Linked DNA regions of Notamacropus eugenii. The protein of the gene in region 3 purifies or fractionates together with the protein of the main gene of each other region. This does not show direct contact. Links are inferred from orthologs where the notes say so. Each region holds a gene or a part of one and is shown on either strand. Other genes may lie near its edges.

Evidence for each region.
Region 1: the proteins of DHX15 (region 3) and SF3A3 fractionate together in Homo sapiens (co-fractionation; 3 studies listed by BioGRID and IntAct, with this or other methods). This does not show direct contact. The link is inferred for Notamacropus eugenii from reciprocal best matches to the Homo sapiens genes DHX15 and SF3A3.
Region 2: the proteins of DHX15 (region 3) and SF3B4 purify together in Homo sapiens (co-immunoprecipitation; 4 studies listed by BioGRID and IntAct, with this or other methods). This does not show direct contact. The link is inferred for Notamacropus eugenii from reciprocal best matches to the Homo sapiens genes DHX15 and SF3B4.
Region 4: the proteins of DHX15 (region 3) and GCFC2 purify together in Homo sapiens (co-immunoprecipitation; 3 studies listed by BioGRID and IntAct, with this or other methods). This does not show direct contact. The link is inferred for Notamacropus eugenii from reciprocal best matches to the Homo sapiens genes DHX15 and GCFC2.

Annotation. Positions count from the first base shown.
Region 1 is NC_092876.1:81,241,410-81,248,891, forward strand, and holds the start of SF3A3 (splicing factor 3A subunit 3), read left to right. Parts: upstream 1-4,470; 5' UTR 4,471-4,603; coding exon 4,604-4,699; intron 4,700-4,937; coding exon 4,938-4,985; intron 4,986-6,836; coding exon 6,837-6,889; intron 6,890-6,997; coding exon 6,998-7,103; intron 7,104-7,482. UniProt on the Homo sapiens protein: Component of the 17S U2 SnRNP complex of the spliceosome, a large ribonucleoprotein complex that removes introns from transcribed pre-mRNAs.
Region 2 is NC_092873.1:303,754,638-303,762,327, reverse strand, and holds the start of SF3B4 (splicing factor 3B subunit 4), read left to right. Parts: upstream 1-4,689; 5' UTR 4,690-5,027; coding exon 5,028-5,181; intron 5,182-5,507; coding exon 5,508-5,636; intron 5,637-5,924; coding exon 5,925-6,467; intron 6,468-6,763; coding exon 6,764-6,970; intron 6,971-7,690. Other genes in the region: MTMR11 (myotubularin-related protein 11), read left to right, coding at 1-143, 456-638, 974-1,267, 1,589-1,723. UniProt on the Homo sapiens protein: Component of the 17S U2 SnRNP complex of the spliceosome, a large ribonucleoprotein complex that removes introns from transcribed pre-mRNAs.
Region 3 is NC_092877.1:77,379,341-77,386,294, forward strand, and holds the start of DHX15 (ATP-dependent RNA helicase DHX15), read right to left. Parts: upstream 3,001-6,954; 5' UTR 2,726-3,000; coding exon 2,655-2,725; intron 1-2,654.
Region 4 is NC_092872.1:761,642,496-761,649,424, forward strand, and holds the start of GCFC2 (intron Large complex component GCFC2), read left to right. Parts: upstream 1-3,910; 5' UTR 3,911-4,207; coding exon 4,208-4,391; intron 4,392-4,789; coding exon 4,790-4,855; intron 4,856-5,066; coding exon of another isoform or gene 5,067-5,123; coding exon 5,124-5,240; intron 5,241-5,949; coding exon 5,950-6,159; intron 6,160-6,813; coding exon 6,814-6,893; intron 6,894-6,929.

The DNA.
Region 1 (7,482 bases), on a different chromosome or scaffold from region 3:
TCTTTTTTACTTTAAATTCCATATTCTCTCCCTCTTTTCCTCTCTTCCCCATTTAGAAGCAGCTAGGTGGCACAGGGGATAGAGATCAGGGCCAGGAATTGAAGAGACCTGGGTTCAAATATGACCTCATATACATACTAATAGTGTGACTTTGGATGCCACTTAACTTCTGTTTGACTCAGTTTCCTCATCTGTAAAATGAGCCAGAGAAGGACCTTTACAAGATTTTTGATCCAAACTGACAGAATTAGAGGGTAACTTAGCCACTGGCTGGTCAAGAATGGATGACCCTTTAAAAAAGCAGGATATACTTTCTAGGAATTGAATTGAGGATTGAATAGGGAAACAGTTTTGGAGCAATGTGACTGATCTCTGTGAGTCCAGAGAAAACCAGCTCTGGATATTGAGAGTTGAGCTGCTGAGGGAAACAGGCTGGGAGAGTCCCGCTGAGCAAACTACCCTGCAGAGACATTGAACCCAGAGCAAGCAGCATGATGACCTACAAGAAGGGAAAGGACCCTGGGGAGCTTCAGATAAGTTGCCTTGGTCCCATGTATTCCCTAAGTGTTGGCCTCTCTACTAGTGTGTTCTCAGTCTTTTCACTAACGCTGTGTGTGGTTGTGATATGTTTGTTTGGTAGGAGACTGCACCGCTGGTTTATGAAGGGAATGTGTTGTTACTGTTATTTCTGCCATTTCAGAAAATATTTTTCTTTTAACCTAAGTGTGCCAACCTGATGATTATTAGAAGTAAATGCTCTGGTGGGGGCTCATGAGCAACAGTTTTTACGAGTGTAAAACACAGAGTACCTTAAACCTGTGGGCAGTTGCCCCCTAGGGATCCACCCATGAGTTAAAGTTGGAGGTATTTCATAAAGGGTATAGCACTTGGCATTGAAATTACTAAACTAAGCCACATTGATTCTATTCTATCTGCTGCCCCCATCCCTAAACACCTATTACAAGGTAGATGATTAATAGCTGGTGGGTTGTTATCCTTAATACTCAAAGAGGACTAAAATGACATCACCATGTCAGCATCAGTGTGTCCAACTGTGGTAATACAAGCCTAAAAGGGTCTGTCACTGGCTGAGCACAAACAGACCACATGGACATTTGGAGTGGAGACATCTCTAAATTGGCATGTCACCTTTCTTTTGAGCTACTGCAATTCTGTTTTACTCATAGAACACACACAGGACCTTCTTTGATACTGACACACCATATTGGGCAGTCCTATGCCAGTGTCTCCCATGCCTCACAATCAATTCCAAAGCTCTTCAAAGAGACCTTGAGAGTGTCCTTGTATCACTTCTACTGACCTCTACGTGACTGCTTGTCTTGTGTGAGTTCTTCTTAAAATAATCTTTTGGGTGAACATACATTTGGCATTTGAACAATGTGGCCAGCCCATCTGAGTTATACTCTCTCCCACAGAGTTTGAACGATTGTCAATTCAGCTCAAAAGAGGACCTCAGCATCTGGTACTTTATCCTGCCAGGTGATCAGAATCTTCCTACGACAATTCAAATGGAAGCAATTCAGTTTCCTGGCATGGCGCTGGTAGATTGTCCAGGTTTCGCAGGCGTACAACAATGAGGTCAGCACAACAGCTCTGAAGACCTTCAGTTTAGTAGGCAGTCTAATACTATTCTCTTGCACTTTCCTTGGGAGCCTCCCAAACACTGAGAGAGCCTTGGCAATGTGTGCATTAACCTCATCATCTACATGTACCTCACTGAAAGTATAAGGTAAATGAACTTATCCACAGACAAGAGCTGAGATGTGTGGCCTAGAGTGCTAAACCAATCATTGACTTATCCTCCCCAAGCTAAACATTTAAATTCAACAAAAGCAGTAGCTCCAAGGCAAGTTGACTACCAGAAGACCTTATGTCAATAGATTAGATTGATTTTCCGTGGGAGAACAGTTTATTGCTAACTTGGAGAGAAGGTTGAGCCAACATATGGGCTGGTAATGACGAGGTTGAGGGGTGATGGGGAACCCCCAAATACAGACAGTCTGGGTCGTGCTCGAATGAATTCGACTCAAGCCTTCTTAAAGCCAAAGAAAACAAAGTTTATTAAAGATTCGCCAAATTGGGTTGCCTCTTAAAGAGCCTAAGCATTTGTGACGCTTGTATTCACAAGTGGGCCAGATGGAATCTCAGCTAGACAGAGTCTGAGCTGGATTGCATCTGAGCGCCTTCATGGAGGCAAGATGGAACTTAAACACAAAAAAGGGTATAGGAGGGATCTGGGGGGTGGTCAAGTAGTCCAGGGTGATGGGAGGAGGGGTTTAGGAAGGGTCTTGAGGAGAAGTCCCAGGAGGAAATCCAAGGAGGGTCAAAGGCTGGAAACAGCTGGAGGCTATCACAAGACAGACTAGGGGGCAGACTAGGGGGCACCTAGGTGGGAAGCAGGTGGGGCAATCCAGAGCTCTTGATAGGGGCTGTATGGGAATGGATACAGATCTTGAGGGGAGTGGTTGGTAGACTGGGGAATGGGGTTTTGATGGGATCAAGGGTGGGGAGTGCAACAGAGACCTGAGAAGAATGATAATGAAAAGCCCATGGGCTTCCTGAGACTGCTGGAACAAATGGGAAGATTAGATTTGAGTAAGAAAGGCCAGATTAAGTGGGAAGATTCAAGGGGAGTCAAAGAGGCTCCCAGAGTCTGAACCCCATCAGTAACAGTGGAGCAGAAAAAGAGTGGGAGCTGTGTAAACCGTGGCAACTCACTTCATCTCAGAGTCTGTAAAAATGTAAAAATGGGAGTGATAACATCACAAGGCTGTGAAAAAAGAGTTTTGTAAATTTTAAAGGACTATGGAAATTGTTCTCTGAGCCTCCTATGTAGTTTTCTCCTGTGTAGATAGATATGTCAACCAACAAATATTTGTTAAACATTAAAATTATATACTAAGCACTAGAGATAGTAAGAAAGGCAAAAACCAGGCCTTTTTCTTGAGTTAACTCAGACAACAGGTAAACAATTAAGTACAAACAAGCTACATGCAGGATAAACTGGAGATAATCAATGGAGAAAAGGTGCTAGGATTAAAAAGCTTCCTGCGGAAGGTGGGGTTTTGGTGGGGACTTGAAGGAAGCCGAGGAGGACCATGATATCAGGAAGGTGATACTGTTGAGGTTCAGGGCTGCTGGGGACCCCGAAATACTGACACGCCGGGTTTTGCTCGAATGAATTTGACTCAAGCCTTCTCAAAAACAATGAAAAACAAAGTTTATTAAAGATTTGCCATATTGGTTGACTCTTAAGGAGCTTAAGCATTTGTAAGGCTTGTATTCCCAAGTGGGCCAGATAGAATCTCAGCTAGACAGAATCTGAGCTGGACTGAATCTGAGTGCCTTCATGGAGGCTAGAGGGAACTTATATACAGAATGTGTGTGGGAAAGATCTAGAGGTCTGGGAGGAGGGTCTAAGGAGGATCTTGATGGGATGAATTGGGGTAACTAGGGATGAAATCCAGGGTGAGAAACAGCTGGAAGCAAATGGGAAGTATCAGACAATGCAGGGTCTGGGTGGAAAGTAGGTGCAAAAGGTAACAGACAATGGAAGGCCACGCTAGGCCAAGGGCAACAGATTTGAGTATGAAAGGCCACGTTAAGTGGGAAGATTCAAGGGGAGCTCAGGGAGGTTCCCAGAGTCTGAAGCCCATCAACACCATGACCTGCAAGTGAATTGGATTTAAGTGAGGCAGGATTGTGCAAGGTCACCAGCCTCACTTTCTCCTCCAGAGCCATCTAGGTGCAGGGACCAGAAATCCAAGGGAAAACACCGAGAAAGCAGAGAGAGAAGGTCTTGTTTGTGGAACTATCAGGAGACCAGCGTTGCCAGATCAAAGAGTACAAGGTAAGGGTGTAAGACGGTTAGAAAAGTGAGCAGGGCTTTGAATGACAAACTGCATTTTGTATCTGATTCCGAGGGCAACAGGGAGTCCCTGGAGACTTGTGTAGGGATGATTTCATCGTGGAAGAGGGGCTTTCTGTCTGGTTTGCGCCACTTTATCCGGGTCTCGGGGTCTTATCTGTGAAATGAGGCTGTGAAACGTGGATCCTGAACGTTTCCAAGGACGCTCTGGGATGATGAGTAAAGCATCGTGCAAGTGTGAGGAAGGCGAAGACTAAAATAAGGGCTCTGGACGTAGTAACAACAAGGGCAGTTGTTCATCTGTGAAATGGGGACGGGACACCTCCCCGGCTGCGCTCGCGGCCCGCTGTCAAGGGGCCAGGCTGGGAATGAGGGCTGGTGCCTCGCCGGCCCTGGCCCCCAGAGCCCAGGCTCCAGGACGCCCCGGGAGCGCACCCACTCTGGCAGCTCGGGACACCCTGCGCGCAGGCGGCTGATGGGCGCCAGTGTCTCCGCAAGGGCAGCAGGGGGCGCTGCCGCCTCGGCCCCAGCGCCCCGCTGCTCTCGCTGCCGCTCCCTGTACTGTCTCCTCCCCCATCCCCGATCCCAAGCAAGGACTTCCGGCGAGGGCGGAACCTTGGTGTCGCTGGGTGTGAGGCGCGGGCGGAAGAGCGCGGAGAAGCGCACTGGCGGCTGCCGCAACTTCCGGAGTGAGGTAGAGGTGGCGGGGGCAAGATGGAGACCATCCTCGAGCAGCAGCGGCGCTACCATGAAGAGAAGGAGCGGCTCATGGACGTCATGGCCAAAGAAATGCTTATTAAGAAGTCCACGGTGAGCGGCCGGAGGGAGGGCGGCGGGACGAGACGGGGAGGGAGAGGAAAAAAAAGCGGCCACATCCGGGATCCTGCCCCTCCCCCGGCTCCCAGGATCTCCCGTGTGCCAGGGACGCGTCCAGCCTGGGGGTCCCGTTCTGTCCGGGGGTGGGGGGGGGGGGGTCTGGAGGAAGGGAAATGCCGAGCGTCCCCGGCGGGTGGAGGCTGACCCAGGCTCTTGTGTCTTCCCCCTTCAGCTCCGGGACCAGATCAACTCGGACCATCGCACTCGGGCTATGCAGGACGTGAGTGCTGGGGCGGGGAGGGGCCGAAGGCTGTTGGAGCGTAGGCCCCCCACTGGGCAGGCCCGGCCGGCCGCTCGGGGAGTCCGGGTCCTCCGCGGCTGTTTGCGGGTGGTCTCCCCCGTGAGACCGGGAGCCCCTGAAGGGCAGCGACTGCCTGCTTTTGTGTCTTTCCCTGCGTCCTCCGAGTTTGTTATTAAGTTATTTTAACTAAATCGTTAAATTTATTAGTTATTGAAATTAAGTTGTTATTAAGTTTGCTGACCGAATTAATTTATTAATTTCGTATCATTTAAATGAATAAACTGTTAATAGCGGCTTATTGACCGGCATAGCGGGCGCCTAATTAGTGCTTGTGCGGCGAGGCACCAGGCCATCCGTGGTCCGGCAGAACTTGTGGGCCTGGCACTGTGCTGAGGGCACAACAGCAAACAGTCCGCTTCTCAAGGCGGTCACGGACCAGTGGGGATTGGCGTTTCTCCTGGGGCTTCCTTCCGACTCAGTGACCACTAACCACCCTCTCTGTGCAGAGAGGTAGGTTCGCTTCTGAAGGGAGCCGCCAGAAGGAAGAGGTTGGACTCTCAGGAGTACCCCTGGGCAAGCATCTGGTCTGTCCCCTGCCTGACCAAGACCTCTGCCTTGCTCGCCACGCTTTTGGACGATCTAGGCCCCTCCTGTGGTGCCTTTACCACAGCCGATAGACCAGCTCCGCCTGGGATGGGGAAGACCTGAGTTCACGTGCTTCCTGTCTGTGCACCCCTGGGCAAGTCGCTTCACCTCTGTCTGCCTCAGTGTCCTTATCTGTAAAATGGGAATAGTTCTAGCACCGACCTCCAAAGATTGTGGTGAGGTGAAAATGAGATGGTGCTGGTCAAGAGCTTTGCAAACCTTACAGTGAAATATAAATGGTAGCGATTGTTATTAGAACGTTTATGACCTCAAGCAAGGCATTTCACAACTTAATCTTTGGTGTTCTCTTTTCTGAAACAACTGTAATCATATTTGCACAGGATTGAGTAAACCACTTGGCGACCTTTGAAATATTGTGAAGTGTTATGTTATTAGTTGTAGTTATAGCTGGAAATAAGGAACGTGTAAATATATTTTGCGTTATTTTATGCATATAATGGGTATTGTACTTTTTTTGTTGCTGCCTTTTCATTGGGTGGTGGAGGGAAGGAGAGAATTCAGAACTAATTTTTTTTAATTGATTGTTAATACTACCACTTTTTTCACCACCATTACTACTACTATCGTACCACCAAGCTTGCCTTCCTTTTAGACTTATCTTTTAACTCCCTTCTTTTATATACAGTTTTCATCCCATCTTTGAGGAAGCTGCTCTAGCTTTGAATATAAAAAGTCTCTAATAAATATGTTCCCACTAATGTCTTGATGACTGAGGCCAGCATACTATGCTCTTCTTAACTCTCCACTTAGTTAGATTTTACTAAGGTGCTAGACCAAAAAGTAATATTAGAGAATGATGATGGGTTAGTAGAGAAAGAAGTTAAATGGGGAATAGACCTTCATTCTCAAATTATGTCATAAATAAGGCCGTTTCCAGTCATCCTGATGAATATCTGGTCACTGGATCCAGATGGTTCAGGAGGAAAAGTGAGGCTGGTGACCCTCACTCAAAACAAAGTCAAGTGCACACGGTCTTTTCGATAACCAAAGGATGAATACAGCAATAACAATATAAGTAACATCTTTACTGTCTGCTGAAGTCCTTGTGTCCCTTAATTTATCTTGAATAATCACTGAAGAGTCTTTGTTGGATATCCAACTATGTGGCGACAGAAACTGCTTTATGTTGATACAGTGTTTTTATTTGGTTTTTTTGCCTTTTAGAGGTATATGGAAGTCAGTGGGAATCTGAGAGATTTGTATGATGACAAGGATGGGTAAGTGGCAGTGCTGCGCCATGTATGGGTGATTGTGGGGTGCCAGTGTCAATCAAATTACTGACCCTGGTCCTTTGTTTTCTCTTTTGGTCCCTTTGGGAATTTCAGGTTAAGAAAGGAGGAACTCAGTGCTATTTCAGGACCAAATGAATTCGCAGAATTTTATAATAGACTCAAACAGATAAAAGAATTCCACCGGAAGCACCCAAATGAGGTAAGCATAGACTTTCAGAGTGAGCCAAGGGATACTTGAGAAAGAAGTAGCAGGGAGGAGGAACACTATTGATCTTTGGTTTTGTTTTGACTCATCAGTTACCTAATTTGCACCTTTGAATTGTTTTGATGACCTACAACAGTTGAGCAAGTGTCAGTATATTTGTCATTGAAAGACAGTGTAAGACAGACTTTGGCAACAGTTGTCTCTGTCTTTCCTTGTTTGCTGTATTAACACCTTTTCCTGTAAAATCATGTATGAATGTAGAGAATATATATATTTTTATTGTTGTTAGTATAGTATGACAGATAGGTGTTTTGGTGTAGTGGCACAGTAGACTGCGGGACTTAAAGTGAGGAAGACTTGGGCTCAAATCCTG
Region 2 (7,690 bases), on a different chromosome or scaffold from region 3:
TCTGGCAGCTGGTTCATCAGTTTCCAGAAGAGTTTGAATTCTCAGAGTTCTTTCTCCTGGCCCTTCATGATAGTGTCAGGGTTCCTGATACTCCCACCTTCCTAAGAGACACCCCCTGGGAACGGGCAAAGCAGAGTGGGCAGGTAAGTGATTCTTTCTCTTTGCTTTTCCTGGGTTATTCTCCCTGAGTTTTAATCATGAGCTTTTTTTGCTGGGTGCTAAGAAAATGGGAAGAGAATTAGAAGTAAGGGAAGGTGCCTGGTCAGCGACTGCATGATCTTTGTCACTGAGGTTCCAAGACCTTTGATTTTTTGGGTGGTAGTGGTGGTGGTGTATGTGCGTGTGTGTACATGTTTGTGTAGGTGTTGCTTTATAATACTGCCCCTTTAATCTGAGAGAATGGTGGAGTTTCCCGAGGCTTAACTAGTCCTCTTTTTTTTCCTTCCTCTATCTAGTTCAGCTCCTATACGCAGGTGTATACACCAGGATCCCCTCAGTCTTCAGCTGGAGACCTTGTCCCCAGACCACCAACTGTCTGGGACTGGGGTCTTCGATATAGCCATCAGCAGATACTTCAGTTCTATAACCCCTGTTATGACCCACATCACTGCTCAGATTCCTATCCCCCTAAAGAACAGGTAAGCCTCATTGTAACAAGAGAGAAAGAATTAGGAAGATGGGGAAGAAATAGTTTCGTTAGTTTTTGCTTCCGATTCTCACGGTCCCAAGTGTCCCCCAAAGGCACAGATACTCTAGGAGGAGATGAAGAGGCAGTTTGGTGGTCTTCTTCCTTTTTCTCCAGTTTCTTCTCACCTAGCCTGTGAAGAAGCCACCCCTAATTCAATATTCCCTCCATTTTTATTTCTGAAGTCTTAGCCCTAAGCCATGGGGGAGGGTAGATGAGGCTTCAGGAAGATGCTGTAACTCCAGAACTGAATTATTTGGTAGTGAGCTGACTCTCTGCTTCTTGTAGCCAACTCCAGCGACTCCTGGCCCTCCACGATCCATCTTCCTTTTCTCCCGGGGAACTCTGACCCCACTGAACCAGCTCTGTCCTTGGCGAGATGGTTTTTCCTCACTGATGTCCTCGTCACGATGGCTCCTTCGACACAATACATCCACTGACAGCCTGGCTGACCAGGAGTGGGGACTCCCTCCTCACTGGGGGCCCTCCCCTTTGCCTCCAGGACTTCTGCTGCCTGGATTCCAAGGGCCCCAGATCAGACTTTGGAGACGTTGCTACCTAAGAGGGCGACCTGAGATCCAGGTAGGACTGGTATACAAAGGCAGGAATGTGGGGTGGCAAGTGGAGGCCAAAAGAAGGAAATTTGGCAGGACATCAGTCAACAAACATATTAAGTCCCTTCTATGTGCCAGGTACAGGGGAGATAAAGGTAAAAAACTGAAACATCCTTTCAAGGAACAATCATTGAATGTAAGATACTTATTTTAATGTTGGAGCAGTCTGGTGAAATCTGGAACTGCAAGGGGATTGGAGGAAATATTAGAAACAGTGAAGGCACTGGGTGAGTGGCGTGGCTGCACAGCTCTGCAATGACATCTTTTTTTGTCCCCTTCTCTCCTTCAGACAGGTCTATCGGCCCCAACAGTCTCTGGACTCTTGGATGAGCTGGCCCAGCTCCAGGAGCTGCTGAGGATGTGGTCTTCAGGGACATCGCCTGGGGCTCAGAAAACCAAAAACCCCCTGTCTCCATCCCGATGAGATGTCTGGCCCTCTTTAGGATTCTAGGTTTCTTTGATCTGCTGGATCTTCCCTTTGCCTTAAACTCCACCCTCCCAATTTATCCAATCACCAAACAAGCATAATAAGATTTAACCTGCTGTTCTGGCCCTGCCCCTAGCCCATAAGCACAGAACCAGATTTTGATCTGGAAGGGATCTTAGAGATCTAGTCTTATTCTTAAATGGGCTAGCTGGCTGTTAAACACACAGGACTGGGGCTCGAGAGAGCTAAGTATTCTTCTTGTGGCTCTGACTCCGTGTGACCTTGAGCAAATCACTTATCTTGAGCTGATTTTCTTAATCTGTAAAATATTATATGTACAGGGTGTCCCAAATGTGTGTGTGTGTGTGTGTGTGTGTGTGTGTGTGTGTGTGTACACACTAGAATATGTGGCTATTTCCAGGTCTGAAACTATGATTCTGAGTCAACTCCAACACTGACACCTGCTCCTCCCTCCAACTCCCCAGAGACTGTTTTGTGCCTGAAATGTTTTTCTTTGTAATTATCTTATTATTTAGGATCTTAACCTGCTCCCTTCAAGACCATCCTATCCTTTGTGTGTTTACGGTTGTATAGTATTTGAAGTGGAGGTACTGGTTATGACTCACCAACATGGCTCCTACAGACCTAATCCTAATTTTCCTTCTGCCTATCTCTCTACTTCTTAATTTCTAGTTATTCTCTTTGCAGCTTTCTATGGAAATAGAATGGAGAAGAGAGAGGAAGAAAGGGAATAGATCTTACTATGTGTTAGATATTAGGTTACAACTGTGATTTCTTCTGATTCTCATAACACCCCTGCACAGTATATGCTATTTTTATCCCAATTTTTCATTTAAGGAAACAGACTTTAAGTGACTTGCCTAGAGTCAACACAACTAGTAAGTGTTTGAGGATGGATTTGAAATCCAGGTCTTTCATGCTCCAGTCTCAGCTCTCTATGGCTTCTGAGTAGGATTGGGAGACTCTCTACCACCTCCATATGTAGATGTTTTGGTAGTGACAGAAACCATCAATGAAAAATATTTATACAAGCTATAGGTTTTGCTTCTGAGAAGAATAATGTGGGAATAGGTGCTAGGATAAAGTCGGGAAAATGGGGACAGAAAATCTTGTACTGTGGGAATGATATGTGGGCACAAGCATCATCATCCAACTGACTGATCATTTATTACCCAATGCCAATATTAGTTTCAGGGAAAACAAGGCAATGAGGAGAAGGGACCAAGTGAGAATTATGGTGGGGCCCAATTATATACAGGTTAACCCTTGTATGGCCTAGATTAAGAAGACTTCTCAGTGACTTTTTTCAGGGAGTAATATAGAAGAGTTTCAATTGTATTGGAGGTCAGGCTAAAGTCAAAGATCAAACTCTGTGAAATAAGCTAAGATCTGAATTCTTGGAGGTTCGAGCCTTAGACCTCCAGCAAGATTTAGAAGTTGGTGGGAAGTAGTATGGGACCAAACCTTTAAATGAGGATAACACGTAGAATAGGGATGGTTCTGGACTGGCTAACAAGAAGGAGTTTACTCCTTAAATCCTTTGTTACAGATATAGTTTGAGCATGGTACACACTTGGGAACTTGAAGGAATCCAATAAAATAAAATTTGTAATGGAATAGTTTAGTGTTTTGAGCTAAATGTCCCTCCTTCTTCAAGACATTTTTCTCAGTTATTAATCTTAGTGTCTTCCTTTTGAGACCACCCCCATTTTATCCTGTACATATCTTGTTTGTACATAGTTGTCTGCATTTTGTTTCCTCAATTGATCATGACGGCCTTGAGAACAGGAATGGATTTTTTGCCGTTCTTTGTATCCTCAGCCTTTAGTATGGTGCCTGGCACATAGTAGGTGCTTCACTAAATGCTAGTTGACTGACTGGGTCCTATACAGGTATGAATATATGAATATGCTCAGTGTGTACGGGATATAGCAAAGCCCATACATTATAAAACTACAGTCCACCATCCAGGGAGGATGCCTAGTGCAGGGAAGGAAAGAAGCATACAGCACTTACCACGGTGCTAAGAGCTTTACAAATATTAATTAGCTCACTCTGACCTTCACAACCACCCCGTGAAGTAAGTGTTGTTATAATTCCCATTTTACAGTGGAGGAAACTGAGACACAGAGGTTGTGACTTGCCCAAAACTTGCCATAGCTAGTAACATCTGAGGCTGGATTTGAGCTCAGGTCTTCCTAACTCTAGACCCATGGCTGTAGAGCAGACCCACCGCTGCATCCAGGGACCCTTGTGGGACATTGATGAGCTGGACCACAGACAGGGTCAGGAAGCTCAGCATCTGTGCCAAGAAGAGGCCAGGCGTTGGATGTCAGGAACTAGTGCAATCAATGCCCCTTAGGCCCCCTTTGTGTTAGGGTGCCAGGGAGATCCTGAGGGGTTCGGGCTGGAGGATGCCCGTTGGGCAGGGGGAGAGGCCTGCTAATAGTAGTCGTTGGTGTGTTTGGCAGCGATGCATTGTGATGAGGTGGGCTTTCATTTTGGTGTGGACTTGTGGGCTGGAGGCGGGGCGTGACATTGGCCGGAGGAAGGATCGTGCAGCAGGAGCAGCGGCGGCGGCGGCGGCGGCGGCGGCGGCAGCGGCAGCAGCAGGAGCGGCAGCAGGAGCAGCGGCAGCAGCATCAGCAGCGCCGTCACGTGACTTTTGGGGGGGTGGTTTGTTTTTTTTTAGCAAAGCTGCCAACGTCAGAGCCCTTCCTAGGTTACTAAACCTCCCTGGGCCTCAGTTTACCCAGTTGTGGACTTGAGGGGAGGTTGGACCGGACGGACTCCTAAGCTCTTTCCAGCTCCACATCGCTCCCTTTCTCAGCCCCACTTCCCCCATTCGCACAAACTCTGGGTTGGGGGCGGAAACGCCCCCCATTGCTATGGCAACTTTTCGGCGCCGCCTGGTTAGGAGGAAAGGGGGCGTTTCGGTGTCTGTGAGCCAGGAGCCGCTTTTCTAGGTCCTGATCATGATTGACCTCGATTTGGGGGTGGTCCTCGTACCGCTCTTTGGGGGTGAGGTGAGGGAGACTGAGATAAACTGTGGCGGTCAGAATGTCAAGATCTTGTGATTAGTTATCTTGAAAAATAAAGGTTTATTCCATTCAGGCTTCTGTGGTTCATGGTCGGGGCTGGGAGTGGGGGAGGAGAGCCGCTACTTAGACCCTCCCCGAAGTCACGTGGAGGAAGCCCCTGATGGTAGGACTCCGAGCCCTGCCTCAGGCGGCCCGTGCCAGCTCAGCCAACATGGCAGCCCACGCCCGGCGCTTCCGAGATGGCCGCCGCCGCGTCTCACGCTGCCCTCCTCCGGCAGCCCCGCCCCTACCGCTGCCCCGGAAGCGGAAAAGTTCCCGTTGCGGGGCCGCTGCCTGGAGACGGCGGGAGCAGATTCAGTATGGCGGCCGGGCCCATCTCCGAACGGAATCAGGGTGAGTGGGGGAGGAGGCGGGAAGCCCGGAACCGCGTCCGCACGGGCCCGAGCCCGGCTCGTTGAGGGGGCCCGGGCCGGGGGCTGGGGAAGCGGGTTCGCCGCGTCGCAGAGGCCCGGAGGCCTCCGCGACCCCATGGCCGAGCGGGTCGGGGGGAGAGGGGAGAGGCGGGAAGGGAGGGCTCCGCGGGTTTCCCGTGCACCTGCCCCCCGGGCCGTGGAGAAGCCGCCTGAGGAAGGCAGCGTGAGGCCCGGCCCTGGTCGGACACCGCTGCCCACCGGCGGTGGCCCGCCCCCTTCTCACGTCCGCATCCCTTCGCCCCGCAGATGCTACGGTGTACGTGGGGGGCCTGGACGAGAAGGTCAGCGAGCCGCTGCTCTGGGAGCTCTTTCTGCAGGCGGGGCCCGTGGTCAACACGCACATGCCCAAGGACAGAGTCACGGGGCAGCACCAAGGTGAGGAGGGGGAGGATATGGGGGAGGGAAGGGGCGTGCGAGGCCACGCGCCCCCGGGCGGCCAGTGTCAGCGAGGCTTTTACTCTCGTCTCTCCAAACTTTGTGCGGCTTCTAGCTTCCTTGGCTTGGATTCCTCCGCTGCGATGACAAGCACGCTCTTTTCTTCTCTTCCCCGTACGTGCCCCTGGGCTTTCTTTTTTTTGCGGGAGTGGGACAAATGGTGTCCCCTCGGGGCTCTTAGCGGACGGTGCGCGCCCAGTCTAACCTTCCGCCCTTGGCCTTCTCCAGGCTATGGCTTTGTGGAGTTCCTGAGCGAGGAGGATGCGGACTACGCCATTAAGATCATGAACATGATCAAGCTGTACGGGAAGCCCATACGAGTGAACAAAGCGTCAGCTCACAACAAGAACCTCGATGTGGGGGCCAACATTTTTATAGGGAACCTAGACCCCGAGATCGATGAGAAGCTGCTCTATGACACCTTCAGCGCCTTCGGGGTTATTTTGCAGACCCCCAAGATTATGCGGGACCCTGACACAGGCAACTCCAAGGGCTACGCCTTTATTAATTTTGCTTCGTTCGATGCCTCCGATGCAGCGATTGAGGCCATGAACGGGCAGTATCTGTGTAATCGGCCCATCACAGTGTCTTACGCCTTCAAGAAGGACTCTAAGGGGGAACGGCACGGCTCCGCGGCCGAGCGGCTTCTGGCAGCCCAGAACCCCCTGTCCCAGGCGGATCGGCCCCACCAGCTGTTTGCGGATGCACCACCTCCACCGTCCGCCCCCAATCCTGTTGTGTCTTCCTTGGGATCTGGGCTTCCTCCGCCAGGTAAAACATGGATTGGGCGTGTGAAAGTGAGGGGTAGACCAAGGCTGGCGGGACAAGGAGACGGAAGGGATAGTCGGAGTATGGTGAAGAAGTGAAGTAAGGGTTTGGAGATGGGAGGCTTGGAGATAATAATGCCCAGGCTGTAGATCTTTGTTTAAATTGCCTCTTATTGTATGAGTAATTTGTGGAGAGGGAAGGTCATTTTCTTAAGTGGCATGTGAATAGGGGGACATGGTGGGACAAAGTTTCTGTCCTGGTTTATTGATACAGACTCTTCTTTCTATATTTCTTTTTAGGTATGCCCCCACCAGGCTCATTCCCACCTCCAGTGCCACCTCCTGGAGCTCTTCCTCCAGGAATACCCCCAGCCATGCCTCCACCACCTATGCCTCCTGGGGCTGGAGCCCATGGCCCTCCATCAACAGGAACCCCTGGAGCAGGACATCCTGGACATGGACACTCACATCCACATCCATTCCCACCAGGTGGGATGCCTCATCCTGGTAGGTGTTCTGTGCTGGGAATGAGAGGGACAAATGAGGGGGAAGGGGCTGATTACATCTTGACTCTTCTTCTCTTTCTCTTTTTTCTATATCTTATGCACTTGGCTCCTCCCTTGTCCCTCCTATCCTTTCAACCTCCCTCCAATTCCTAATTCTGTTCCTGGGATGATATGTGATCCCATAGAGAGAACTTGTGAGAGTAGGAGGTTTTTCTATTTTAACTAATCAAGTAGTATATTTTTCTTTGAGAAAAATAGCATGGCTATGGCCTGTTTCCTGCCAACTTGATTCTCCTGTTTTCTCATCCCTTTACTTCTTTGTTTTTTGGGGGTTTTTTGATCTTACTTTATTTGAAGTTGTAGAAGTAAAGGTAATTTCTTTTAAATCAGCCTGATGTTTTCCCCAAGACCATCTGTTTCACTTGTAGTCATTCACAGTGATGACCTGTATTCACTTGAGGGTAGCTCTGAAGGCCTAAAGGAGAACTGGTTTTTTTAATTAATTTTTTTTTTTCAGTTTTCTTCAATCACTTTTATAAATCTTAGATTTTTTTCCCCCTTTCTTCCCCTCCCTCCCCCTCCCTCCCTGAGATAGCATTCAGTCTTAGATGGGTTCTACATATACATTCTTCCTAAATACATTTTCACCTTAGCCATGTTGCATGGAAAAACTAAAATGAATGGGAGAAATCATGAGAAAAAACAGAACACGAGAAAATTG
Region 3 (6,954 bases):
CCAACAACCTTCAACTTGGGATGCAGAATATCATTCATTTCACAAGTATTTCTTAAGTACCTATTATGGGCAAGACTATCTGAATGAATTTTAAAATCCATACTATCTCTTCTCCAAGAAGATAACAGGAAAACAATCTGAGCAAATGTGTCGATAGAAATATGACCTCCAAAAATTCTGCCTTCCAAATGGGTGACATTAACTTACCCAAGGTTTCTAGAAAAAGAAAAAAACCTTAAAAACCCAATTATGCTTCTGGCCTCAAAGCCCAAGTTGCAAATATGAGACTTTACTACTTCAGATCTCAAAATACTAAGAGTTAGAAAAGCAATGGGTAAAAATGCAAAAGAAGGTGGTCTAGCTGTGCCAGATCTCAAACTGTATTATAAAGAGGTAATTATCAAAACAATCTGGTACTTGCTAAGAAACAGAAGTATATCTCAAACTATATTTTATAAAGCAGTAATTATCAAAACAATCTGATATTGGCTCTGAAACAGAGTGGTGGGTCAGTGGAATAGATTAGGTACAAATTACATTATAGTAAACAACTATAATCATCTAATATATGATAAATCCAAACATCCAAGCTTTTGGAACAAAAACTCATTTGTCAAAAACTGCTGGGAAAACTGGAAAACAGTTTGGCAGAAACTAGGCATAGACCAACATTTCACACTGTACATCAAGATAAGGTCAAAAGGAGTATGTGATTTACACATAAAAGAAAGGGTGACCTCATAAGCAAATTAAGAGAGTACAGAACAGTTTATCCGTCAGATTTATGGATAGGGGAAGAATTTAGGATCAAAGAAGATATTAGAACACTACAAAATATAAAATAGATCATTTTGATTATATAAAATTCAAGTTTTGTATAAGCCAAACCAAAGAAACCAAAATTAAATAGGAAGCCGACAACTAGGGAAAAATTTTTTGCAGCAAGTATCTCTTACAAAAGTCTCATTTTTCAAATACACAGAGAATTGAGTCAAATCCATAAATGTACAAGTCATTCCCCAACTGATAAATGATCAACGGATATAAACAGCTTTCATATAAAAGAAATCAAGGCTATCTATTGCCATATAAAAATGCTCTAAATCACTACTGATTAGAGAAATGCAAATTAAAACAACTCTGAGGTACCTCTTTACACCTATCAGAGTGGCTAATATGACAAAAAAGAAAATTTTGGGTGTTGGAGGGCATGTGGTAAAACCTAGATACCAATGTTCGGTTGATGGGAGTTGTGAACTGATCCAACCATTAGGGCTACCAAACTGTGAATACCTTAGATCCAGCAATATCACTGCTAGGTCTATATCCCATAGACATCAAAAAAAAAGGGGGGGTGGGGGGTGGAGAAGGGCCCATTTGTACAAAACTATTTATAGCTGCTCTTTTTGTGGTAGCTAAGAGTTGGAAGTCAAAGGGATGCCCACCAATTTAGGAATGGCTAAACAAGCTGTAGTATATAACTTTAATGGAACGTATAAGTAATGACAAACAGGATGATTTCAGAAAAACCCGGAAAGACTTATATAACTGATGCACAAAGAACCGAACAGAACCAGGAGAACGCTGTGCATCGTAACTGTGAATGACTTGACTATTCTCAGCAATAACAGTGATCCAAGACAATCCCAAAGGACTAAGGACGAAGCACAACAGCAGTCTCCGGAGAAAGAGCTAATACTGACTGAACAGAGACTGAAACACGCTCTTCTTCACTTTTTTTCATTTTTTTCCTGTCGTCTTGTTCAGAATGACTTATAAGGAGATGTTTTAAGTAACTGCATACGTATAACCTACATCCGATGGCTTACCGTCTCAGGGTGGAGGAGGGGAGGAAAGTACAGAATTTGGAACTCAAAACGTGAAAGAAAAATGTTTAAAAATGGGACAGAAAAGAAGATAGCAGCGGAAACCACGAGGGGTGCTTCCACGATGACCAGGATCAACCCTTCCAACGAGGACAGGGAAAACCCGAAGCCCGCGGGAGCGCGGCTTAAGAAGCGGAAGTTGTCCTCTTTTAGCATCCACTTTGAAAGACTTTGAATGGATCCGCAAGCCGCGTCTCCGGCTGGGGGCTCGGCCAGCGGACACGGACGGACATACGGACGTACTCACACTCACACCAACACAACTCACCACGCGCGCGCCCTCCCCGGCCCACACCCGGCCCACGCGCCGCTCTCCCTTTCCTGGACTCGGCCTCGGGTCGCCCTGACAGGCCTAACCCTGTCCCCCGCGGCCCTCAGCTCCTTGGTCCTCCGGAAAGACTGCCGGAGGAGGGCGAAGAGGAATTCCCGGGCCTGAGAGAATCGCTCCGGCCACGAGGCTCACCGATCCCACCCCACCCCCTCCCCGGGCAGGCCTTGCTCCCCAGCAGCTCCGAAAGGCCTGGGGAGGGGAGGGGGGGAAACTCGTGCCGGGCCCTTCGGCCTCCCCGGCTAGGGCTGGGCCTGGAGTTGGCGCCGCCACCCGAGAGGGTTCCCGTGAGAGCAAAGCCTCCCCCGGGCCGCCTGCCACGGGCCCGAGATCCGAAAGAAAATACCGGTGATCTCGGGCCCAGCCGAGACCTCGTCTCTGCCCGCCCCAACATCAACAAAGCCCGGCGCCCCCTCCCGCCTCGGGCCGGCCTCGCTTACCCATCGCTCCCCGCACGTTTCTTGCCGGAGGGATAATCTTCCCCTAGGTCTAACCGGTGCCGCTTGGACATGGTCGCGCTGGCACAGCGGCGATGGAAGAAGGAGTTTAAAAAGGGAACGAGAGGAGGGGCAACCGGCGGCAACAGGGACAAGGGCGATCCTTCGTTCCGGGAGCCCCCCCCCCACCTACAACAGCCTCCGCCGTGCGGCCGGGACCAGAAGGCAAAATGGCGGCGGCGGCAAGGACCGGGCCTGCGCGCGCGCCTCCGTCGCGTGCGTGCGTGCCTGGGTGCGCGCGCGCGGCGTCCCGCTCCTCGCCGTTTCTCTCTCGCTCATTCGTCCAGCCGACCGCCGCACAACCCCGTCCCGCCTTTTGCTAGGAAGAGGCGAGGAGGGGGAGGGGCAAGAAATAGCCCGCCCTCTAGGCTTGTCGTGATGGGGCACGTAATGCGAAAAGGCTGCTGGGAAGATTACCTCGGTGTCACCTCCACCCTCAGTGAGGAGGAAAATCTTGGAGAAGTGGCGGGAGGGGGTGGGGGAGAAACCCACGTGTTGTGGAAAGTTGGGTTGAATGAAAGGACGGGGCTGTCCAGGCGCAGAAAGGTGGAGTCCCCCCTCCCAAGCTCACCTTGCCACATTGTTGCCAGCTGAGGAGCGTGGGAAAGGACCCCCTCCCCCTAGGAGCCTAAGTTTCCCCATTAGCTATTGAACCACAGAGCCTCCCCATGGGAAGCGACCTACCTCCCAAACCATCCAGCCAGTGAGTCTATCCGCAGGTACTGGCAGCGCGCTGGGCGATGGGCCAACTCAGACCTGAACTAGAAGACCCCAACTTTGAATGAGGGGACGCTCCCTCCCTCCAGAGGTAACCCGTTCCAAAGGAGGTGAACCAACACTGCTCAAAAGGAAAAGAATTGAAATAGTCAATAAGCATGAACAGAGGCTCTAAATCACTACAGATAAAGGAGAGTCAAGCCCATGCCAAGCAAATGTTTCAAAGTGGACAAAAGATGGAAATAATTAATGTTGGAGTATTGCGGGAAAGTAGGCACACTACTAATCCATAGTGGGTGGAGCTGTGGTTCCTTCTGCAAAGGGACTTAGAATTTTGAAGTAACTAATGTGTCAGTATCCTTTGATCCGAAGATCTGAGAAATATTCCCAGAGGGTCAAAGATAGAAAGTCTCCCTGTGTGTAAAAATGTTTATGTCAACATTTATAACTACTCCAATAAAACAAAATTTGAAACAAAGTAGGCTTCAGCAGGTTGGGAAATAAAGGGTGGTACAATAGAGTATTGCTCTGCTGTGAGAAACAGTTTATATGAAGAATACAGAGAAACATTGGAAGCTTTTAAACAAACTGATGGAAAATGAAATAAGTAGAACTTAGAAAATAAGGTGCACGGATTGAAATAGGTAGGTGGTCTTGAGGATAGTCAGGAAAACATAAATACAGATCTTGTCTCAGACACTAGCTGTGTGGCCCTGGGCAAGTCCTTTGACTTCTCTCAGCCTCAGTTTTCTCATCTATAAAATGGGGATAAGAATAACAAATATTCCACGTAGTTGTGAGCCTCAAATGAGGAAGTATATGTAAAATGTTTTGCAAAAAATTTAGTTATATGTTTGTATATAGTTTTTTTATTATTATAGCAATATAAATGGAAAGAATAGAAAACAATGAAAATGAATGCCATGTTGAGTATAATGACCAAACTTGACTCCCAAAGATGTAATAAGACTGCAGTGGAGAGTTGGTAGACTCTAGGTATGGAATATTAATTACTTAATGATGCCTTTATAAAGTGCTTAATCTGTGGCACTATGGTAAGTGCTAGGGATGCAAAGCAAAAGCAAAAACCTAAAATAGTCTTTATCTCACGGAGCTTATATTCCATATACTGTCAGACTCATTTAATGTGTTGGTTTTGGAGAACTGGTTTTTTTTCTTTTTCCTTTTGTAACAAAGGATGATTTTCTGAGTGGGAGCGAGGAGAGGGATGTATTTGGAATTGAAGATGATCTAAAAATAAGAGCTAATTTTTAAAAAGTAAATCTCTCTTTAAAAGAAGAAAGTTGCTGAAGTGGAGCTTTAGACCTCGCAATGAGGTATAAAATCAATCATGGAACTTCAAAGCACAAATAAAGCCATTATGAACTTTAAAAGAAAAAACTTAAGACAATAACCCAGTTTTATGCCTCTAGGCTATTTTTGAGCAAAAGTTTAGGAGAAAGACTGTGATAATCCTAGTGTGTCCCATCAGATTGGTCCCAGATTTGAACTATTTTCTGCTCTGAAAAACATCAAAATAAAGTGGAAAAGAGCACTTTCATCTAGCTCATCCATAAGAATTGTAGGAGAGACTCTATGAAATGCTCTACAGAAATATAAATTATATCAGTATTTTCCTGATCTGCCAGTCTAGTAATCATGTCAAAAAAAGTTAGTCTGGTATGACCTGTTCTTGATGAAGCCATGCTGGTTGTTCTCTTTTCTTGAATTCTGTCTCAAATGAATTACTAGGTGTGTTCTTCCTATATTTTAGCTCCTATCTGTGTTATCTAGCATGGTAGACATACACTCACTGTTTTCTCCCACTCTCTTTACTTTAAAGTGTTTTAGAAAGAATATTACTAGTATAATACTGTCTACCCTGGCCTGAAGTCCAGAGTTGTACAATACCCTTAAATGGTGTAGGGTATTTAGGCTCCAGCCCCACCAATGGTGTTTCTTCCAGGGAGTGATTCTTTACATCCCAGTTCTGTTTAGCTACATATCTATTACATTTGCCTTTATAAGGGAATATTTGTTTCAAAGGTATAATAACAAATATACAGGCATATTCTCCAACAGGCAGAAAATAATTCCCCAACTCCCATTTTTCACTACCTCATATTCTGGGGTGAGGAGGAAGATTAGATTCATAGCTTAGCTCAGTTCCTATAAAGCACGGTCCAGTTCCAAGTCCAAACATACTTCAGTCTGAAGTCCCAGCCACCCTGACTTCTCCAATTTTCTGTACCAGCCTGGCCAACTGCAACATCTCACCTGGACTCCTGGCTCCAAGGTAACTATGGCTTGAGCACTCGCACTAATGGGGATCACCACTGGCACCTGAAACTAAGAAAGACAAATGATGCAGAACAAGGACCTCAGACCTGTTTCTGGGAGGCAGGGTAAGAGTATATCCTCTTCCCAGTTAAGTTCATTGTGCCCAGCCCTTTGGTGACTTGGACCCTCTGGACACAGCAGGAAACAGTGAGCTTGTAAAGAGAGACTCTCAGTCTGGCTAGTTTTAAAGATGTAGCCTTTTCTGGTCACATAACCAATAAAAGGAGGCTACATCCACTTACATGGTAGGAAAACACCGGAGGCAGAGTATGCTTCCATGTTAGGTAATCATAGTATGACCAGGGTAAGCCCTTTACACTAGCAATTTTGGGACCCAAGCAAGCTTCACAAAATGTGCTTTAAATTACCTTTTTTAAAAACCAATTCTGCTGGGAGATAGAGAAAGACTTCAGGGAAAAGACTGTGATGGTAGATACCCTGAAGGCTGAAAATTCCACCTTGGGGACTGTTGGGTTGGGAATGAGGGTGGGAATGAGAGCAGAAAGCTGGTCACTTGATGGTTTCCTATTTTAATTTCTTTCATGCTAGATAGGTATTAAACTCAGTTGTTTCTATGCTGCTGAGTGAATATAAATGCTGTCAGGTCCTTCTAAATTTATGGTTTGATCATTCTTATTTGCAACTCTCCTGGAAGCAAAAACTAGATGATCACCTGTCAGGTCTGCTGAATAGGGGACCCCTGTTCGTGTATGCTTTTAGATTAGATAACTTCTGAGGTATCTGCCAAGTCTGGGATTCTACGATTTCTTGAACAAACTTTCTTTTGTTTCTATCAATTACTAGAGCTAGATGGAAAGTTGAAACAGCACTAAGGAAAACAAGGTTGGAAAAAGCAGTGATGCTTTGTAGTCCAAGAATGCATAGATATTCAAATTGGAGGTAATACAATTTTGAGAGCATTGAGGGATTAATTCTCAAGATACCTGAAAGAGGGGAGAATTTCCCAACGGGGGAGGAGAAATGATTACCAAGAATAGGTAACTAAGAAAAATATCAACAATTGCTGATCTAGAGGCCTCCTTTCCCACCTCCACAAAATCTTTCTGAGCATAATTCGCACTTACCTCAAGGAGATCTCCTTGATGAGGTGATGAGTAGTGAGCTGGCAGACCATCTTTGTACAATTGCTTAGTTGATTGAAAGACCCTGCTTTTAGTCAAGATCC
Region 4 (6,929 bases), on a different chromosome or scaffold from region 3:
GGAGGGTCTGACTGGGGGGAGGGGAGGAGGGTCTGACTGGGGGGAGGGGAGGAGGGTCTGACTGGGGGGAGGGGAGGAGGGTCTGACTGGGGGGAGGGGAGGAGGGTCTGACTGGGGGAGGGGAGGAGGGTCTGACTGGGGGAGGGGAGGAGGGTCTGACTGGGGGGAGGGGAGGAGGGTCTGACTGGGGGGAGGGGAGGAGGGTCTGACTGGGGGGAGGGGAGGAGGGTCTGACTGGGGGGAGGGGAGGAGGGTCTGACTGGGGGGAGGGGAGGAGGGTCTGACTGGGGGGAGGGGAGGAGGGTCTGACTGGGGGAGGGGAGGAGGGTCTGACTGGGGGAGGGGAGGAGGGTCTGACTGGGGGAGGGGAGGAGGGTCTGACGGGGGGAGGGGAGGAGGGTCTGACAGGGGGACCAGGAGGACCGCAGTGCGGCAATCAGCACAAAGCCTGGGGGAGGGCGGGCGGGGTCTGGGGAGGGTCATCACAGCCAGGTCACTGGGGGAGAGGGGCGGCGCCCCCCCATCCCAGGAGCCCCTACCTCCCACCCCTGATCGCTGCCGTCAGCCGGGCCCGCGTCCTGCGCACAGCCCGAGTCAGTAGGACCCGAGTTCGAATCCGCCCTCAGACCATTCCTGGACGAGTGACCCCCCCCCCCCCCGGCCCCCCTTCGCAGGGCCCCCCCCACACGCGCGGGCCGCCCCCCTCCCCGATCCCCGCCGCCGCCCCCGTAGCAGCCGGGCAGTCTCCACCGGAAGCGGGGCCTCCTTCCTGCTTCCTGCTTCCGCGTGACCCCCCCCACCCCGCGCCCCCCGCGCGCCCCCACCTGCCGCCGCCTGCTCCGCCTCCGCCACCGCCTCCGCGGCTCCCTCGGCCGTCCGCGAGGACCCGAGCCAGGGGCCCCGACTGCGCTCAGGGGCTGACGGGCCACGAGCCACAGCTAAGCAGCTGCTGCGGCTCCTGTCAGAGCCGCCTGTCAGCGCCGCCCGGCCCCGCCCCTACGTCATCGCGTCGTCATCTCACGTCACCGCGCCCGTCGGTACGTCATGTGACGATCCTCCAGATGGAAGTCGGGGGCGGAGCCTGGAGACAGGGGAGGGGGACGGGGGAAAGGGACCGTGGAGGCTGAAGACGAGGCCAGGAGGGGCGGGGCCTAGGAATGAAACCTTCCAAGGAGACTGGGAGAGCGAGGGGGCGGGCCCGGATGATGAGGACGGAGCCTGGAGGGCGGAGGGGCGGGGCAGGAGGGCCAGGAATGGGAATGTGGAGGCGGAAGATGAGGTCAGGAGGGGCGGGGCCTGAAGAGAAGAGGGACGTGGTCTAGGAAGGAGACCTTCCAAGGAGACTGGGAGAGCGAGGGGGGCGGGGCCATAGGGGCGGGGCCTGGCCGAGAGGGGTGCGGACTTGCTCCCTGCACAAGTCCCTGCACGTGCCCTCCCTTTGAGTCTGAGTCGGTGGCTTCCCAGTGGGGGCAGTTCGTCCACCAGCTCAGAGGCCACGCGGAGGTCATGCCACCCGCCAGCCCCGGCGTCCTACAGCCACGACTCCTTGCCCTAGAGGCCTGTGGATCCCAAAGATTCTAGATCCCAGCCAGTCCTCGTGGACCCTTGGGGCTAAGAATTAATAATGCTCGATAGATAACATGGATGGCATAGCGCTCCACAAATGTTAGAACCATCAAAATAAATAGGTTTTTAAAATTGTATTGTTTGTAGAAAAAATTAACCATAAAGTGAAAATAAATGAAATGTGTCTTATTTGTGAAACTAAAAAATTATAATTATCCATTGTTAAGAAGACATAATAGGATGCCCTGATACTGTGGTGGTAGCAGGAATCTCGTGAATCACAGAAATCTAGTGAGAAAGACTGGTCCAAGCTGCCCTTTGGGGAGACACTAGAGGGGGAGAGGGAAGACTAAGGAAGGAGTCTGAGGGCATCTAAGAAAAATGATGTAGATGCGGGTCAGTGGCTCATCCTGCGCCGCTCATCCAATGCCAACGCCAAATGGGGCATCCAAAGCCAAAGGGTGAGAGAGCCCCTGATGTGTCCACAAGGTGATGGGCATGGAGGAGGGGGCAACGTGATCATGTCCCTTCTTCATGATTCCTGACCAACCCTGCTAACTTCCATGTACTGGTCTATAAGCTGCTGAAGGGGAAGGGTGCTCTCTCACAGGGCAGGGAAAGACCTTGGGCAAGTCAGTTCATTTCTCTGGCCTCCCTCAGTTTGCTCTTTGATGTGACCTTGGTGAGTCCTGGCAGTCCAGCCCCCTTCCAAACCAATAAGAAAGAGTTCTCTTCAGTTCATTATCACTCCGCCCACCTTCTCCACGTTTCATCATTGCTCCTGCAGGGCTCTGCCTGGACACCAGAACAATGAATGCAAACCCCTCAAGCATTCCTGGGAAGGGTCCGGCTTTCCTCAGCCCAGCCTTGGTGCTTGACTGCTGCTGAACTGAAGCACAACCAGTGAACACTGCAGGTCTTTTCCTCCTTCCACACCACCAAAAAGTTCCTCCTGGAACACTCCAGCCTTCAGAGAGTGCTCCATAGGGCTTAGATTTGAATCAAGGTCAGAGCTTGATTGAATTATCTATTTTTTCCTCTCTCCTGTCCCCCACCTACAAGAGCCATGTCTGACATGGGGGCACAGTTCTTGGAACTTGGGCAGCAGTCTGTGCCTATGATCTAACCCACAAAAGCTTTGGTAAGCATGTTTCAAGAAGGGTGTGATATGGGGTAGCCTGTTACCTTTCCACTTAGGTGGTAATCTTTATTTCCTGTCCACTAATTTTAGGCTAATTAAAAGTATCATAATTACTTGTTGAGCATGGAAATCAAATGCATGACTAAAAGGAAAAATGCTGTCTCCCGATCGGCTTTTGAATGATGAGGAAAAAATGCTATAGATCTGCAGGACAAGAGAGAGGTACCATCAGCATCAGATGCAGGCATAACTTGGCTGCCTCGTCTGGGGCTGCCACATGGCCATGAGCACATGGTGCCTATGGTTCTCTCTCTGGTAACTATGTGTGTATGTAATGGTCACGATGGGCGGCCCAACCCTAACATCACATTTCTCCCTAGCCTCAATACACCGTCTCCCAAGGACAGCCCGCCCTAGCCAAACCCTTATCTCTCTGCCTGCTACAACAGCCAGCTGCACCTCTACAATTTATTAGTTTGAACCATCTATGTACTGGTTGAACTGGCTGTGTACTGGGTCCTAAAGATCAATCACATGTATCCTAGACTCAGACATGTGTTTACTCCCTTATGTTTGTCTTGCTTGATGGGAGCAGCCCGGGTATTTCTCAGTCAGCCCTGACTGCTGGTTGAGGCCTAAAAGCACACCTCCATGTAGGCCTGCCCCTTGGGTAACATGCCTGCACAGTATATCCTAAAAGTGCATGTTCCTTTAAGAACTAACTATTCCTTAACCACTGCTTAATCCTGCCCTGAATAACCTAGTTGGCACATTTGGCACGTTTGCTATAAAATATCCTGCACAAGCTTTGACCGTACCCCTCCAAGGTTGCAGGCAGGTGCCCTAAGAACTCTTTCCCATCGTGACTTCCAGGATGCCTGAGTCTGTGACTTCTCCAGGCTCCGTCTGCTGAGCACTGCTTGATTTCTCCGCTGGTGTACGTGATCACAGAAGACCCTCTCACAAAAGCAGACCTAAAAGCCTGCGTGGCAGACCCCGCGCTGGCAGACCCCGCGCTGGCAGACCCTGCTGGAGGCGTCAGGGCGCCGCTGCCACATGGCACAGAGACTCCGTGAAAGGGAAGGGATCCCTCCTCCTCCTGCCTTCCCCAAGGAGCCACCGTGCCCACGAATGCAGGGGCACGGGCACGCTGCCTCGGAGTTCGGGCGCTTCTGAGCTGCTGCGACGGAGGTGATCTCACAACCAAAACCTTTCTTTTTATTATTCTATTTTTCCCCAGTGACATGTTAAAACAATTTTTAACATTTGTTTTTAAAACAGAGTTCCAAATTCTCTCCCTTCCTCCCTCTCAATTCCGGGGACAGGGAGGGCTCTGGAACAGCTGGTGGGGGGCGGAGCCAGGTGGGGCGGAGCCAGGAAGGACCGCGAGCCAATGGCGTGCGGGCCCACTGCGCAGGCGCGTCGGTCCGAAAGTGTCTTATTCAGATTGCGGGGAGCCGGAACCAGCGGGGCCTCGCGCCGGCGCAGTACCTGTCGACTATGTCTCAGCGACCTCCGCGGAACTTCCGCCAGCGCCAGGCGGACTCAGGCTCCAGCTCCGACCCCGACTCTGACCCTGGGCCCACACCTGATTCGGGCCTCGGCGGCCGCGCTCCCGAGCGCACACTCGGGGCTCCGCGGAGTCGCGGCCGCGCCCGCGTTTGGGCGACTTCGCGCCGCGCAGGTCCGTGCGAGGGCAGCCATGGGGTGGGGAGGGTGCGTGCGCACACGCGGACTCCTGGCGCATGCGCGGAGCTCCAGGGAAGCTCAATCGATGTCCGAGAGCTCCCGTCTTCCACGGATGCATGACCTCATCGATTCCATGGGGAGGGGCCCCTCGAGGGTTGTGCAGGGATGAAGGAAACTGAGGCAGTGCGGGCGGGGCAGGGGCAGGAGCTAACTCCAACCCCCTCCTATTTCCTCCCCTGTCAAGTTAGGGTCATGACGCAGACACCCCAGGCACCCCTCATTCTGATCCCCTGTCCCCATGGACCCTCCCCGCCCCTCAGCCCCCAGACTCTCAGGCCACAGCCTCTGGCCCCACCCTCGCTGCCCTGCCTCAGTTTCCCACTCTGTCTCCAGGCACCTCCCGGTGTGGACCCGCCCCTCCAGGTGTGCAGGGGTGCTCCAGTTCTCCAGAAAGGAATGGTGAGCGCCCCTGCTGGAACCCCTGCTGGCGTCTTGGGGGGAGCTCCCACCCCAGGGAAGAAGTGTTAGCCTGGGGCTCAAGGTCAGGGGAGGGAAGGGCTGCAATCAGCCTTGTTGGAGGGATCCTCCCCGTTGTGGAGGGCCCGCGTTCTGCCTGGACTGGGCCTGAGGAAGGGCGCTGAGGGGTTCTGAGGGAGCTCCCCCTGTCCAGGTCCCCCCACTGGCTGCCTGGCGCTGACTAGCATCGCTGCCACTGCTTGTCCCCCAGAGTCCCCCCTGCCGCCTGGCCATGAGGATGAGGACACCGGGGCAGAAGCCCAAGACTTCTCGGGAAGCTCATCTGGCGAGGAGGCTCGTTCCCCAAGAGCGCAGGATGACTGGCCAGGTGCGTGGCCCCCATGGGCCAGTCCTGGGGCTGCTGGGCGATCAGCAGTCACCTGGCACTCCCTGTCTGATGCCAGACCCTCCTGATCTGACCAGCGATGTCCATGGCCAGATCTGCATCCTCTGAGGAGTCCTTGCTCAACCAAAACCTTTCCTTGAACCCTGCGGGGTGACCCAGAGGCTCTCCCTGACCCTTTTCACTCAGTTCCTGTGGGTCCTTTAGGGAAGATGCAGAGTACAGGCCATAGATCTAGGGCCACAAGGTCCTCCTGTCCTGCATCCTGTGCCGCCTCCTGGGGAAGAGTCATGACTGGAGGTGGGAAAGGGGCACTTTTTCTAAGGACAGACACAGGTCTCGGGGATGGTCCCATAGGGTGCAGCAGAGCAGTCCGCTCTGGTCCACCTGGGTGAACCCATGGTGCTGTGGCCAGTTCTGAGCCTGAGCCAGAGAGGGGAAGCCAGGTTCTCCTGCAGTGCTGGCCTGAGAGCACTCGGGACAGGGCTCACCCTGACCTGTGCATCTGTGTGTTGGGAAGTAGGGGTTTCCATGACTTTGCACAGGAAAGGAGGGTGGTGACTTCTGGGCTGGCAGGTGGGTTTCTCGTGTGCAGAAGAGCTTGGTAGTGGCTCGAGAGTGCACCTAAGTCCTTTGTGGGGGGCTACCAGTGGCCAATGAGGGTCCTTGATGCTGCTGGTCCCCTGTGTCACAGGGGGCTTCGCTGACCCAATGCAAGCCCGAGTGGTGGGAAGAAGGCAGCAGAAGGGAGCCAAGGCACAAGAGGACTACCTGCCACTGAGTGAGAGGCCGTGGAACCCCGTCTTGGATTTAAAGGGGAGCAACGATGCCGACTCTGACGATGAGCCTGTCCCTGGAGTAGCAGGGATTCACTCCCTGAGACTCAGAGGGGCTGGCGAAGCAGGTGAGGGTGCCTTGCTCTGGAATCCATCCCCTTCATTGGCTCTCATATCCAGTACTCTGCCACCACCCAAAGAGCTGGAACAGGCATTTCTGTTTTCTTTGGTCTCCTTAGGGTGTGCGCCTAGGGTCCGAGGGTGGGTGTGGTTCCTTGTTCTGGATTGCACAGAACCATCGGATCCATGGGCTGCAGCTGCATCAACAGGGCATGAGTATCCTGCTCCGATGGGCGTGAGGAAGAGCCTCAGAGGGTGCTTTAACTTTGTTCCTCTGAAACTGCCTACTCTTGTAAATTGGACCCCATTCCCCATTTTAGCGGGGAAAACAGGCCCAGGAAGGTGACTCGCTCAAGGTCACGCAGGTCTGATATAAGTGTCAGAGGTGAGATTTGAACCAAGGTCCTTTGGCTTCAGATCTGGTGCCTTTGCACTTGTCTGAGGAGGTCATGCAGCATCATGCCTTTAGCAGAAGAGGGATGTGGTGGGGCCCCCTGGCCTGGCCCAAACTTGAGGCCTGAGATGTTATGTTACAAGAAGAAAAAGGTGACTGGGGGCTCAGCTGGAAGGGCACAGGGAAGGTGGGGAAGGCCGAGGCCCCTCCAGAGGGCACAGGTTTGAGGGCTGAGGGGCCATCCTCAGCCTTCCCTTCTTCATTCTAGCTTCCAGCAACTCAGAGGGGGAGGCTCAGGACGTTTGGGAGGACCAGCAGATGAGGAAGGTTCTGCGAGACACAGACATGGTACCATGTGCCCTGGGGAGGCCTTCCTGGGAGCCC